2 linked regions of the Saccharomyces cerevisiae S288C genome follow. Changing the gene in region 1 together with any one later gene gives a genetic interaction. Each region holds a gene or a part of one and is shown on either strand. Other genes may lie near its edges.

Region 1 (6,462 bases):
ATATTATAACAGATTGACCCCTCTGGCAATAAGACAGTATAGGCAGTTAGTATTCGATAAAATTTTCAAGAAATTACAGAATGACGCTCTGTTGTGTGAATTGATATTCCAGAAGCCGGGAAACTATAAAAAGGTAAACATTTTTTTGGATATTATCAAAAGAAACAACTACATTGATTTATCTCAATGGGATATTTATTCTTTGGCATCCGTGTGGTTGAATTACTTCATTAAGAATAAAGCCAAACCTCTAATCCCAATTGAATTAATTCCGTTACCAATTGTTGATGATCTAAAGTTCACAAGTGAAACATTCCGCAAAATTATTAAATTCAACCAATACCAGGACCTCTTTATGGTCATAATTCCTTTTTTTAATAGGATCATAGCGCATGGTGAATCGACTAAACATGATTCAAGGACCCTAAGTAAAGCTTTAACTCCGGCGTTATGTAAGGAAAAACTTTCCATGATGACTAATGATCGTTTAGCTATTGGGTCGAGATATATTAAAAATTTACTGGACTTTTTCCCCGAAATCGCGAAGGAAATATCATCACCTCCTTCATCCGTATCATCGTCTTCTACTATCCCTGTTTTGCCTAAGCCAAGGAAGTCGTCGCCAACCAGATACAGTGAACTAGGCTGCTTAACCCTTCCTAGAAGTCGAAGCCCTAGTCCACAAAGATCTGTTACGTCTCCAACGTACACACCTGTCGCATTACAAAATACACCAGTCTTGAAACCTAAGTCTTCAAGCAGAAATGTTTCATCCCCATCATTCAATGCCAAACCTCCACTTCCTATTAAGGCAGTTACACGACCACAACTGTCTCTAACTTCCAATTCTAATACAGATTTGGCATTAGCTTCTTCTTCTACAGATACATTATCCTCACCGACGAAGACTCCATCAGCAGACTCGCTTCCATTGAGTAACAGCAGCACCGATTTAACGATATCAGATAATATCAAAGAAATGGTTAAGGACGAGCCAGCAAAGGATAAAAATTCTGTGGAAACAGATATATTCGTACAACAGTTTGAAAGTTTAACCCTCGTCCAAAACGCGAAGATTAAGAAGTTCGACAAAGAACTACAAGAAAAGAAGAAGAAAAATGAAACTACTTCAAAGACAGCAGATAAATTCTCTCAAAAGGGATATTCAGATATTAAAGCAAGCAACAAGGTTAGCAGGCTAGCTGCATTGTACGAAGAACGTTTACAAGGTTTACAAGTAATGAATGAAATGAAACAAAGGTGGTAACTTACATAATTGTATCTTTTTAACACATACATATTGCATATACGACAACAAAATACCCCCCACCCTTGAGTTAAGCCGTAGTTGAAGCAGTCGAGATCTCGTGTATAATATTATATATCAAACAATATTACGTTTTTTATAGTAAATAAATAAATAAATAGGTAGGTTATTTGCACCGTCTATATGCAGAGTCTATAGAATTGTGTAAACTAGCTTATGACTATTAAATCGGACTCTTAATTTTTAGCTAATATCTCTTCAGAATTTATTCGTTTCTTCGTATATTACCAATATAATTGATTGCTGAACCAGCTTTGAAAAAATCGATTTGATCTTTAGACATAGTATGTTTTGCCTTGATGGTGAACGATTCACCGTTTGGTTTAGTAATTTTAACATCAATTTCACCACCGTTATTACCATCCTTAGCAATCATGTCAACTAGGTTCAACGTTTCTAAAACATCTCCGCTTGATATTTTATCATAGTCAGATTCGTTGGCAAAAGTCAATGGCAACACACCTTGTTTCTTCAAGTTTGTCTCATGAATTCTTGCAAAAGACTTAACTAAAAGAATCTCTCCGCCTAAAAATCTTGGTGACAAAGCAGCATGCTCTCTTGCGGAACCTTCACCATAGTTATGTTCCGCTATCACGGTCCATGGTCTACCGTCTGATTTCCATTTCATCATCAAACCAGGAATATCATATTCAGTTCCGTCAAGGTCATAAGCCTTGTTGACTTCACCGGTTTCTTTGTTTTGTGCACCAATCAATGTATTGTAAGAAATGTTTTCTAGATGGCCTTTATATTTCAACCAGACGCCCGCAGCGGAAATATGATCTGTTGTACATTTACCTTCAACTTTCAAAAGCACGTTTGTCTTCAATTCCTTCCCGTTCCAAGGTTTGAATGGCTCTAATAATTGCAAACGATCAGAATTAGGGTCTACCTTAATCTCTACATTGCTATCTGGCTTTGGATCCATTTCAGGATAAAATTTGTCTCTACCGTGTTCAAATCCTCTTTTTGGTAACTCATCACCCTTTGGTGGTTGGAATTTGAAATCCTTCCCATTTGGCAATTTAATTGAGTCAGTTAGCGGATTGAACTGAGCATCTCCAGAATAACTCATCGCTGTTACTATTTCTGGGGATGTTAAGAAATTCATTGTATTCCTATTACCATCGTTTCTAGCTCTGAAATTTCTATTGAATGATGTAAAAATAGTGTTCGTTTCTTTTGATGTTTTCGAGACATCTTCCCTATTCCATTGTCCGATACAAGGGCCGCATGCATTTGCTAAAACTTTGGCACCATTTTCTTGGAAAATATCGATGATTCCATCTCTTTCCAAGGTAGCTCTAATTTGTTCTGAACCAGGGGTGACAAAGAAGGGGATACGTGGTTTCAAGCCGGCTTTGGAAGCTTGCTTGACCAAGTCGACAACACGACTCATGTCTTGATAAGATGAATTGGTACATGATCCAATCAAACCAGCGCTAACTTTTTGGGGCCAGTTTTCCTTCAAACTTTTTTCGGCATATTGAGATATTGGGGTTGAAAGGTCTGGTGTAAATGGACCATTAACGTGAGGTTCAATTGCGGATAAGTCAATTTCAATAACTTTATCGTATTGAGCATCTTTGTCGGCTCTTAAGAAGTTAAACTTGTTTAAAGCAACATCAGCTGCTTCAGCGACCTCTGCTCTATTAGTTGCTTGCAAATAACGCTTGTGAGCTTCTTGGTAAGGGAAAGTTGACGTTGTAGCACCGATTTCAGCTCCCATATTACAGATGGTTGCCATACCTGTGCAAGATAGAGTGGATACACCTTCGCCGAAGTACTCGACGATATAACCAGTACCACCTCTGACAGTTAGTAAACCAGCGAGCTTTGTGATTACATCTTTAGGAGTGGACCATCCGTTTAACTTTCCGGTCAATTTAACACCTAAAATTTTTGGTGCTTTTAATTCCCATGGAGTGCCTGTGAGGGCATCAACTGCATCCGCACCACCAACCCCGATGGCAATAGCTCCCAGACCGCCTGCATTTGGTGTATGGGAATCAGTACCTAGCATCATTAGACCTGGAGCTGAGAAATTTTCCAAAACAATCTGGTGAATGATACCAGAACCTGGGCCCCAGAATTGAATTCCATATCTCTTTGCGCAACTCTCCAAGAAATCGAAAACTTCTTGGTTGGTAGCTATGGAAGAGGGTAAATCTTTAGTTTCACCGTCCTTACCTACAATTAAATGATCACAATGTATGGATGCTGGGACAGATGTTTGATTTAGACCGGTGGTCATGAATTGTAGAAGCGCCATTTGGGCAGAAGCGTCCTGCATAGCTACACGGTCTGGGTTTAGCTTCAAGTATTTATTACCACGGATGGTGGACAGATCAGAAGAAGTAATCGATTCTTCAGGATCGCAAAGATGCGAGTATAAAATTTTTTCTGCTAGTGTCAATGGAGCATTGTTTGTTATTTGTTTAATCTTGTCTAGGTTGGTCAAAAGTTTTGCATAAGGTGGCACTTTTGTTTGAAAATTTTTAGATACAGAGGGGAACATATTGGCATGTGTTGCCAAATGCCTCTTTATATAAAACCTATTAGCTGAAGATAGCATCGAATCTCTTGCTTATTGCTCTTAGAGTTTTATGTTTAAAGAAAGTCGAAAATTCTTATTTTTGCAAGTGCGCAAATCGAATAATACGAAAAGATGAAAATATTTTAGTTTATATACATGTTTGATGCCATACCATCTATTGACATAATCTACGATGTGAGAGCTGTATGATATTGTGGAACTTTGTATATATTGAAAAAATTTTCCAGTGGAATTTTACTCGCGATGACTCAAGAGCGTGAAAAAAAAAAAAAAAAAAAAATTAATTGCTAAAAAATCAAATATATGCTTCCAATCGGATTTGAACCGATGATCTCCACATTACTAGTGTGGCGCCTTACCAACTTGGCCATAGAAGCTTCTATTTTATATTTGCCTGACCTATTTTAACGGTTATATTCCACAAACATTTTAATCATGAAGCAATTTTTTTGATGTTGATGTGAGAGTAATAAGCACTGTGCTGAGAAGAGGATCAACAACATGATATTCTACGGAACGTAAAGGATACAATGTTATTGGACTAAGAATCGTCTATCATCTTAAGAAATGGGTGGATGATCGGACAATTATTGAGAAGGTTTCATTGTGGAGAACAAATCGCAATATTGTGCAATCCTTTAGATATGTCAAGATAAAATACTAGGGAGGCTTCGCCCATTCATTAAAGAGTATAGCTACCGCATACTGTTTAGTAGTATACTATCACATGTGGTGTAAAAAGATAACATAAAGATTGAGAATCAGTCATCAAATGTAATGGAAGCTGAAAATGCAAGGATTGATAGTGTAATAGGAACGAAACATATGAAAACGGAATGAGGAATAGTCGTATTATTAGTATGTATAGATTCCATTTGAGAATTCTTATATCCTCGAGGGGAACTTCTAGTATATTCTGTATACATAATATTGTAGCCTCTATCAACAACGGAATCCCAACAATTATCTCAAAACTCACTTATATCTCACAAAACACTCAATAGCGACCCTTAAATGTTACTGAACCTCATATTGTTTCGCTCTGCTCCCTTATATATTGTTAATGCAATCGGGACAGCTCACTGACTGAACGGTGAATAGTGGCTCCCGGAAAGCTGAGAGTTGTGAACTCGCCACCTCTGTTAAGTAAGTCGTAAGCTGTTAAAGCTGCGTCACGAGTAATGAGCTGCCAGTTCGGCCTCTGATCGCTGTACTTTATGGTAAAAAGATAGTTCCTAGTAGAAGACGAGTCATACTCGTAAACAAGCACCGCTGGATACTCTTCTCTATCAAGACGTAAAGCGTACTTGTAATCTCTAAGTTCGCCAATCCAAATTTCTGATATGCCACTCATTATCCTCACCCCACATGCTGACACCTTATACATTCAATATCTCCCTTCTCCTACTTAACCTTATGTTACCCTTTTTTTTTGGCTTGCATTTATATTTGGTTTACATAGCAACAACCGATAGCGGGTAACAGCATTAAGCTTCCCATCTCCCGTTCACTGTTATTACCTTTGGCACGTAAAGGGCCGGCTAATAATGTCGTATTTCCACTGATTTGGATGTATGTTGCATGGTGCTAGATTGTGAATAAATCATTTCCACTGGTTTCTAGCAGAGGTAAGAAAATCAGTAGTAGCGGCAGCAGCCAAGAAAAATGGCAGCCTGGCAAGCAGCGAAGGCCATCTGTGCTGCATTTCCACACTCCTTGTATGACTGCATACGCATAAAGAGGTGCCTTGCTGTAGGCGTATATGATCCTAAGCAACAGAGAAACCACGGTTCTCTTCTCTTCTTATTTCGTTATTGTCTTCCCTTTTTACTATGGGTAAAGTCGCCCTAAAGCGGGGCGCTCACAATATCGCCGCAGCTACAGCCGTTTTTTTTTTTTTTGTTTTTTTTTGCGCTGCTTCTCGAAGAATGAATGGCTCACTGAAAAATTTTGATTCATCGATATAAAGAACACTGTTCACTTCGATGTCATCCGGCCAATAAAGTTGTTTTTAGGATAAACGAGTAAGTGGTAGCTGGTACAGGATCATGAGATTTTCACACTTCTTGAAGTACAATGCTGTCCCAGAATGGCAAAACCATTATATGGACTACAGCGAGCTGAAAAATCTTATTTACACGCTACAAACAGATGAACTTCAGGTTGGTGATAACGAAGAAGGATTTGGCGCAGGAAAGAGCTCTAACATTACAGATAGGTTCAAAAACAAGTTTTCTTTTAAAAATGCGAAGGAAGATACGTCTTCCGGTATGAACAAAGATGCAGGCATCGTTGAGGAAACCATCGAGTTGCGAGAGTTGCCTACTGCTCAGACGGTCGCTGCCAAACCTTCTCCTTTCAGAAGAATGAAGGAAAAGATATTTTACAAAAGAAGGTCGTCTTCCGCATCGTCCGTCTCCTCCACGGCCAACGAAAATCTGCAATTAGACACTTATGATACGTTTGTTGGTGATTTAACAGCTGAAAAACAGAAAGTAGATGATTTTTATAAGAGGACAGAAGCGAAGTTCTACGACAAATTTGACGCGCTGGTGAAGGACCTGAAGAAAATCGGAGT
Region 2 (5,018 bases), on another chromosome or scaffold:
ACCATGATAAACTAGTGCTGCTGCTTTAAACAAAGAGGCGCAATGTTTACCTTCAGAAGAGAGGTCATACAATTACTTGGAGGGTAACATTACTAATTTTGCAGAGATTGCAACATAGGTGATCTTATATGTTGAAATAAAAACTACTGCTGATATTGCTTGCTTTGATAATAACAATATTCGAGGGAAAATACTGCCCATGCTACTTCAGTGTGATGGCAAAGCGTTTTCTCATCTAGGAGAGCAACGGTTTGATCCCCGTGAAAAGCCTGGGCCCAGTACATCTTGTAAGATCTTACACAATATTAAGTTATATAGACATCGTTTACTACATTCAAGGTCTTGTGAATAGTTACTGCGGATAGGTTAATAGAGGAAGATATAGTGCAAAATTTCAAGTAGCGGAAGATAATCAAATGCTGAAGGAAATTTACAGGTTTGCCTCAATAATAATCTTGACTCTGCCGGAAAAATTTACCAGAGGGTTCAAAGGTATGAGTTGTACGACCCGGTTCAACAGTAGTTGCTTGAAGAGTAAGCTGAGCCTATAATATCCCATCTTTTCCGTTCTTCTCATAATAAATAAAAGATAGGATCGTGAGATGTGTCAGCTGCTGAGGAGTGTAACTAGCGCTAATGGGAGAACATAGAAGAGAGTACCGTGATGGCACAGAAGGCGGGTAGGCGACCACGGACCATTTCGGTCCAGATTTCTCAACTCGTACTTCCTGTGATACGTTCTTGCCCTGAACTAGTCAATTTTCTCTTGTGCAGCAGGCTTCGACATAGTTTTATGATAAGAAAAGTAAGATATAAAGGTCCGCTAGAATAAATAACCATAAATTTTTTATTTTGAGTTATATCAATATAAATAATAGCGTAAAAGAATGCATTTTACGCAAGAAATAAGAATTCCTTGGCAAATGACTTGATGAGATCGTATATCATTGGTTTATGTGGGATTTCCACTCATGTAATACTTCAATCAAGACTTGATTAACCTTCGTCAATTCCTCTGTCGTGATCACATATGGTGGCATAATGTAACACAGGCAGTTGAAAGGTCGGATATGTACTCCCTTGGATATAAACTTTTTCTGGAACCACTCGGGATCTGTCTTCTTGTATAGCTCTACGATACCTACAGCTCCAATAACTGACACACGCTTAACAACAGTTCCAATGAGCCCATTATCTGGGTTCTTGATGTACTGGTATAGTTCTCTATAAATTTGGTTTTCAATTGCAGACACTTGTTTTCTCCACTCGCCACGCAGTAGTATATCCATAGACTTTTCTGCCACACTGCATGCCAGGGCATTGCCCATGAAGGTGGGGCCATGCATGAAGCAGCCACCAGTAGGGCTATTTGGAGAAGAGATTCTGGAAGCAACTTTGTCGTTGACTACCACTGCACTCATAGTCATATATCCACTGGTTAAGCCCTTCCCAACGCACAATATGTCAGGAACAACTTTGATCTGATCGGAAGGACTGATGCCATGTTGGTCCTGGTATTTTTGACAGTGCTTGAATGCGAAAATCTCACCTGTTCTACCAAATCCTGTAGCAATCTCGTCCATGATGAATAAAACGTCGTATTGGTTACATAGTTTCTGAACTTCGATTAAGAACTGTGGATGGTATGGTCGCAAACCTCCTGCACCCTGTAAGATAGGCTCCAAAATCACAGCACAGATCTTATCACTATGCAATTCAAATTGCTTCTTGAGATCGGTAACTTCTTCTGCATTCCAATGGTCCTCGAAACCGTTCTGGCTGGTTGGAAGGCCATCGACAATAGAGGGAGCTTGGGCGAAGATGTTCTCACTGAGTCGATCGTTGTAGATATGATGCATAGAATTCTCAGGATCACAAACACTCATAGCGCCAAATGTATCACCATGATACCCGTTCTTGATTGTCAAAAACTTTGTTCTATTTTTAGTAGCTTCCCCTGACATGTTTGATTGTAAAGCCATCTTCAAAGCTACTTCCACTGCTACTGAGCCAGAATCTGCGAGGAAACAGTACTGCAAAGAGGGTTCATCAATCACTTTTAAAAGTTTTTGGACTAGATTCACAGCTCCTTTATGGGTGAATCCACCAAGAAGGACGTGAGAAAACTTTAACATCTGCTTGGTAAGGGCCTCATTTAGTTCTGGATTATTGTACCCGTGAATAACACACCACCACGACGACATGGCGTCGATCACCTCGACGTCCACTGGTGAGTCGGTATCCAACACCAGCTTGCATCCGTGAGCACTCTTTACCGGATAAACGTTCAATGGTGAACTCAATGACGTATAAGGATGCCAAATATGTTTTTTATCAAAGTCTAGCAGTTCCGCGACATCTGGTGTATATGAAATTTCTTGGGACATTAGTTGTTATCCTAGCAATAGAAAACGAATTGCGCTGTTGACATCCTCCCGACCAAAAGAAAATGAAATATACAAACAATGGCTATTTATAATTCAAAATTATTGGGCAAAACAAAATAAAATCCCGCTGGTAGTTCGTTTACTGAAGTATATAAAGAGATATACTTTTTTCCACAAGTAGGCCAGTGAAAAGAACTCAAAAAATCACTAGCGCACAGGTCATGAACAGCAAATCTCAACAACAAGAACAACAACCAATTGTATTCGTCACCGGTACAGACACTGATGTTGGTAAAACCTTTGTATCAACATTATTGGTACACAAATGGAAAGCTGCATACTGGAAACCCGTACAAACTGGAATTGAGTCAGATCAAGGTGACTCCGAGACATTGAAAAATTTCAAAATAGCCGCATCAACTTGGCAACCACCTATATTCACGCCCACTTATGCGCTGCAGAAGCCTCTATCTCCGCTCCAGGCCATGGAGTACGAACCTAATGTCGACATCAGGTTGTTGGATTTCGTAGTTCCTGAAGAGTGGAGCGCAGAGAATCCATTGGTCGTAGAAGGAGCCGGCGGGGTTTGCGTTCCTATCACTCGTAAATTGGAAATTACGACGGATCTAATTAAACATCTGATTGAGACTAGCGGCCATCCAGTGTACGTAGTTGTCGTGGCACGCAGCGGGCTAGGGACTCTGAATCATACATTGCTGACTTGGAATCATCTTTGCGATAATGGCTTGAGAAGCCACCTTTTTGGGGTCATTCTCAATGGGGAACCGAATGAAGGCAACGTGCAGGCCCTGAAGAAGTTCGGTGTCAATATTATGGCACAGGTTGCACAATGTACTACGGCACATGATCAGGATATGGAGTTGCATGAACTGCCATCGGTGGAGTCATTAATGACCCAACAAGACGTAGAATAGTTTAAATAAAAAAGTTGCAAGGCTTTCATCAGCTATATATAAGTAGCATGGTATGAACAGAGTAGGGGCAGTGTTCCTATTTGTATATGAAAGAAATTTTTTTTTGTCTATTGTTCCAGATCGTCACAGGACGGAAATAAGAATGTCTAGTTCAGAAAGGTCAGAAGTCAAGTTTGACAAGCACTTTAATTGGTGGTCCCTATTAGGTATCGCGTTCTCATTAAGTTGCTCATGGGTCGGTATCTCAGCGTCGATGGCCGTTGGTATTGCCAGTGGAGGGCCACTGCTTATCATCTATGGGTTGATAATTGCTGCTTTTTTCAGTCTCATGTGTGGTATATCTCTGGGAGATTTTGCTGCTATCCTGCCAAACAGCAGCGGTGGTTCATTTTGGGTTCTTAAAATGTTGGAACAAGAATCAGTCACTTTGAAAACCCCTGAGTACGAGGACCCTTCTGACGATGATGAAGAAGTGTTCCTCGAGAATTATTGTCAAACTTTCAACGTGGAAGTTTCTTCTAAATTTCAAAAGGTTTCTTCCATGGTTGTAGGGTTGCTGAACTATTTCGGTGCCATTTTTACTACCGCAAGTATCTGCTCATCTTTGTCAATGAGCTGTATCGGTATTCATAAGTTGTTGCATCCGGACTACGAGTTAAAGCACTGGCATGTTTTTGTGGGTTACGAGTGTATCAATGCCGTTTTGACACTTTTCAACATTTATTCAACTCCGTTGCCCTATATCTCTCAGTTTGGGCTCTATACGTCTCTATTGTCTTTCGCCATGACTTTCATTATTTGTATTGTTTCAAGATCTGACAACACCGTAGACCCATGGCCCAAAGCTTCTAATATATTTGGGAGCTTTGATAATCAAACAGGCTGGAATTCGTCTGGAATGGCGTTTGTTGTCGGTTTGGTCAATCCGATCTGGGCATTTGTTGGCATTGACTCTGCTACGCACATGATTGATGAAGTGGGTTATAGTAAGTCACGTTTCTTAGTTCCCAAAGTTATTATCACTACCATCATTGTGGGCTTTGTAACTAGTTTTATTTATTGCGTTGGTTTGTTTTTCTGCATCACTGACCAAACGGCAGTCGTTGAGTCTATTTTACCTATCGTAGAAATATTTTACCAGGCCACTGGTAATAGGAATCTCAGTGTCTTCCTGCAATGTATGTGTATCACAACAGGTTTTGTTTCAGGCATTGCAAGTGGAACCTGGCAAAGTCGAATCCTCCAATCATTCGGGAAAAGTTACGCACCATTTTATAAAGAGGGTTCCTTGGGAAACAAATCCTTGAAGAAGCTAGCAGTGTTGACACCTGGGTTTAAGTCTCCATTATATGCCCATTTTTTGTCACAAATATGTGTAACGATAATTGGCTGTATATTTATGGGATCTAGTACCGCTTTCAACGCAATTATCACTGCATGCATCACCCTGTTACTAATGTCGTACGCAGTTCCTTCTTTTATATTCCTGTTCGTTATTAAAAAGGAAAAATTCATTCATAGAATCGAGAGTGACGTAAATTGTGTCAGCAGGCCTAACCGTCGTCGTATGTCTATGATTCCTCATATTATATGTATTCTATGGACCTTGTTCTGCCTGGTATTTTTATCTTTCCCATATACACTACCGGTTACTGCAGGAAACATGAATTACACCTCAGTAGTGTATGCAGTAGTT

Evidence for each region. Genes that interact genetically often act in the same process or in processes that back each other up.
Region 2: mutations in ACO2 (region 1) and BIO4 together harm fitness less than expected from each alone (positive genetic interaction), as found in Saccharomyces cerevisiae (one large-scale study listed by BioGRID).

What each region holds. Positions count from the first base shown.
Region 1 is NC_001142.9:54,912-61,373, forward strand, and holds ACO2 (aconitate hydratase ACO2), read right to left. Parts: upstream 3,903-6,462; coding exon 1,533-3,902; downstream 1-1,532. Other genes in the region: ECM25 (Ecm25p), read left to right, coding at 1-1,267; MBB1 (Mbb1p), read right to left, coding at 4,945-5,271; PHO90 (SPX domain-containing inorganic phosphate transporter), read left to right, coding at 5,933-6,462. UniProt on the Saccharomyces cerevisiae protein: Catalyzes the reversible dehydration of (R)-homocitrate to cis-homoaconitate, a step in the alpha-aminoadipate pathway for lysine biosynthesis.
Region 2 is NC_001146.8:731,660-736,677, reverse strand, and holds BIO4 (dethiobiotin synthase), read left to right. Parts: upstream 1-2,608; coding exon 2,609-3,322; downstream 3,323-5,018. Other genes in the region: BIO3 (adenosylmethionine-8-amino-7-oxononanoate transaminase), read right to left, coding at 945-2,387; BIO5 (Bio5p), read left to right, coding at 3,375-5,018.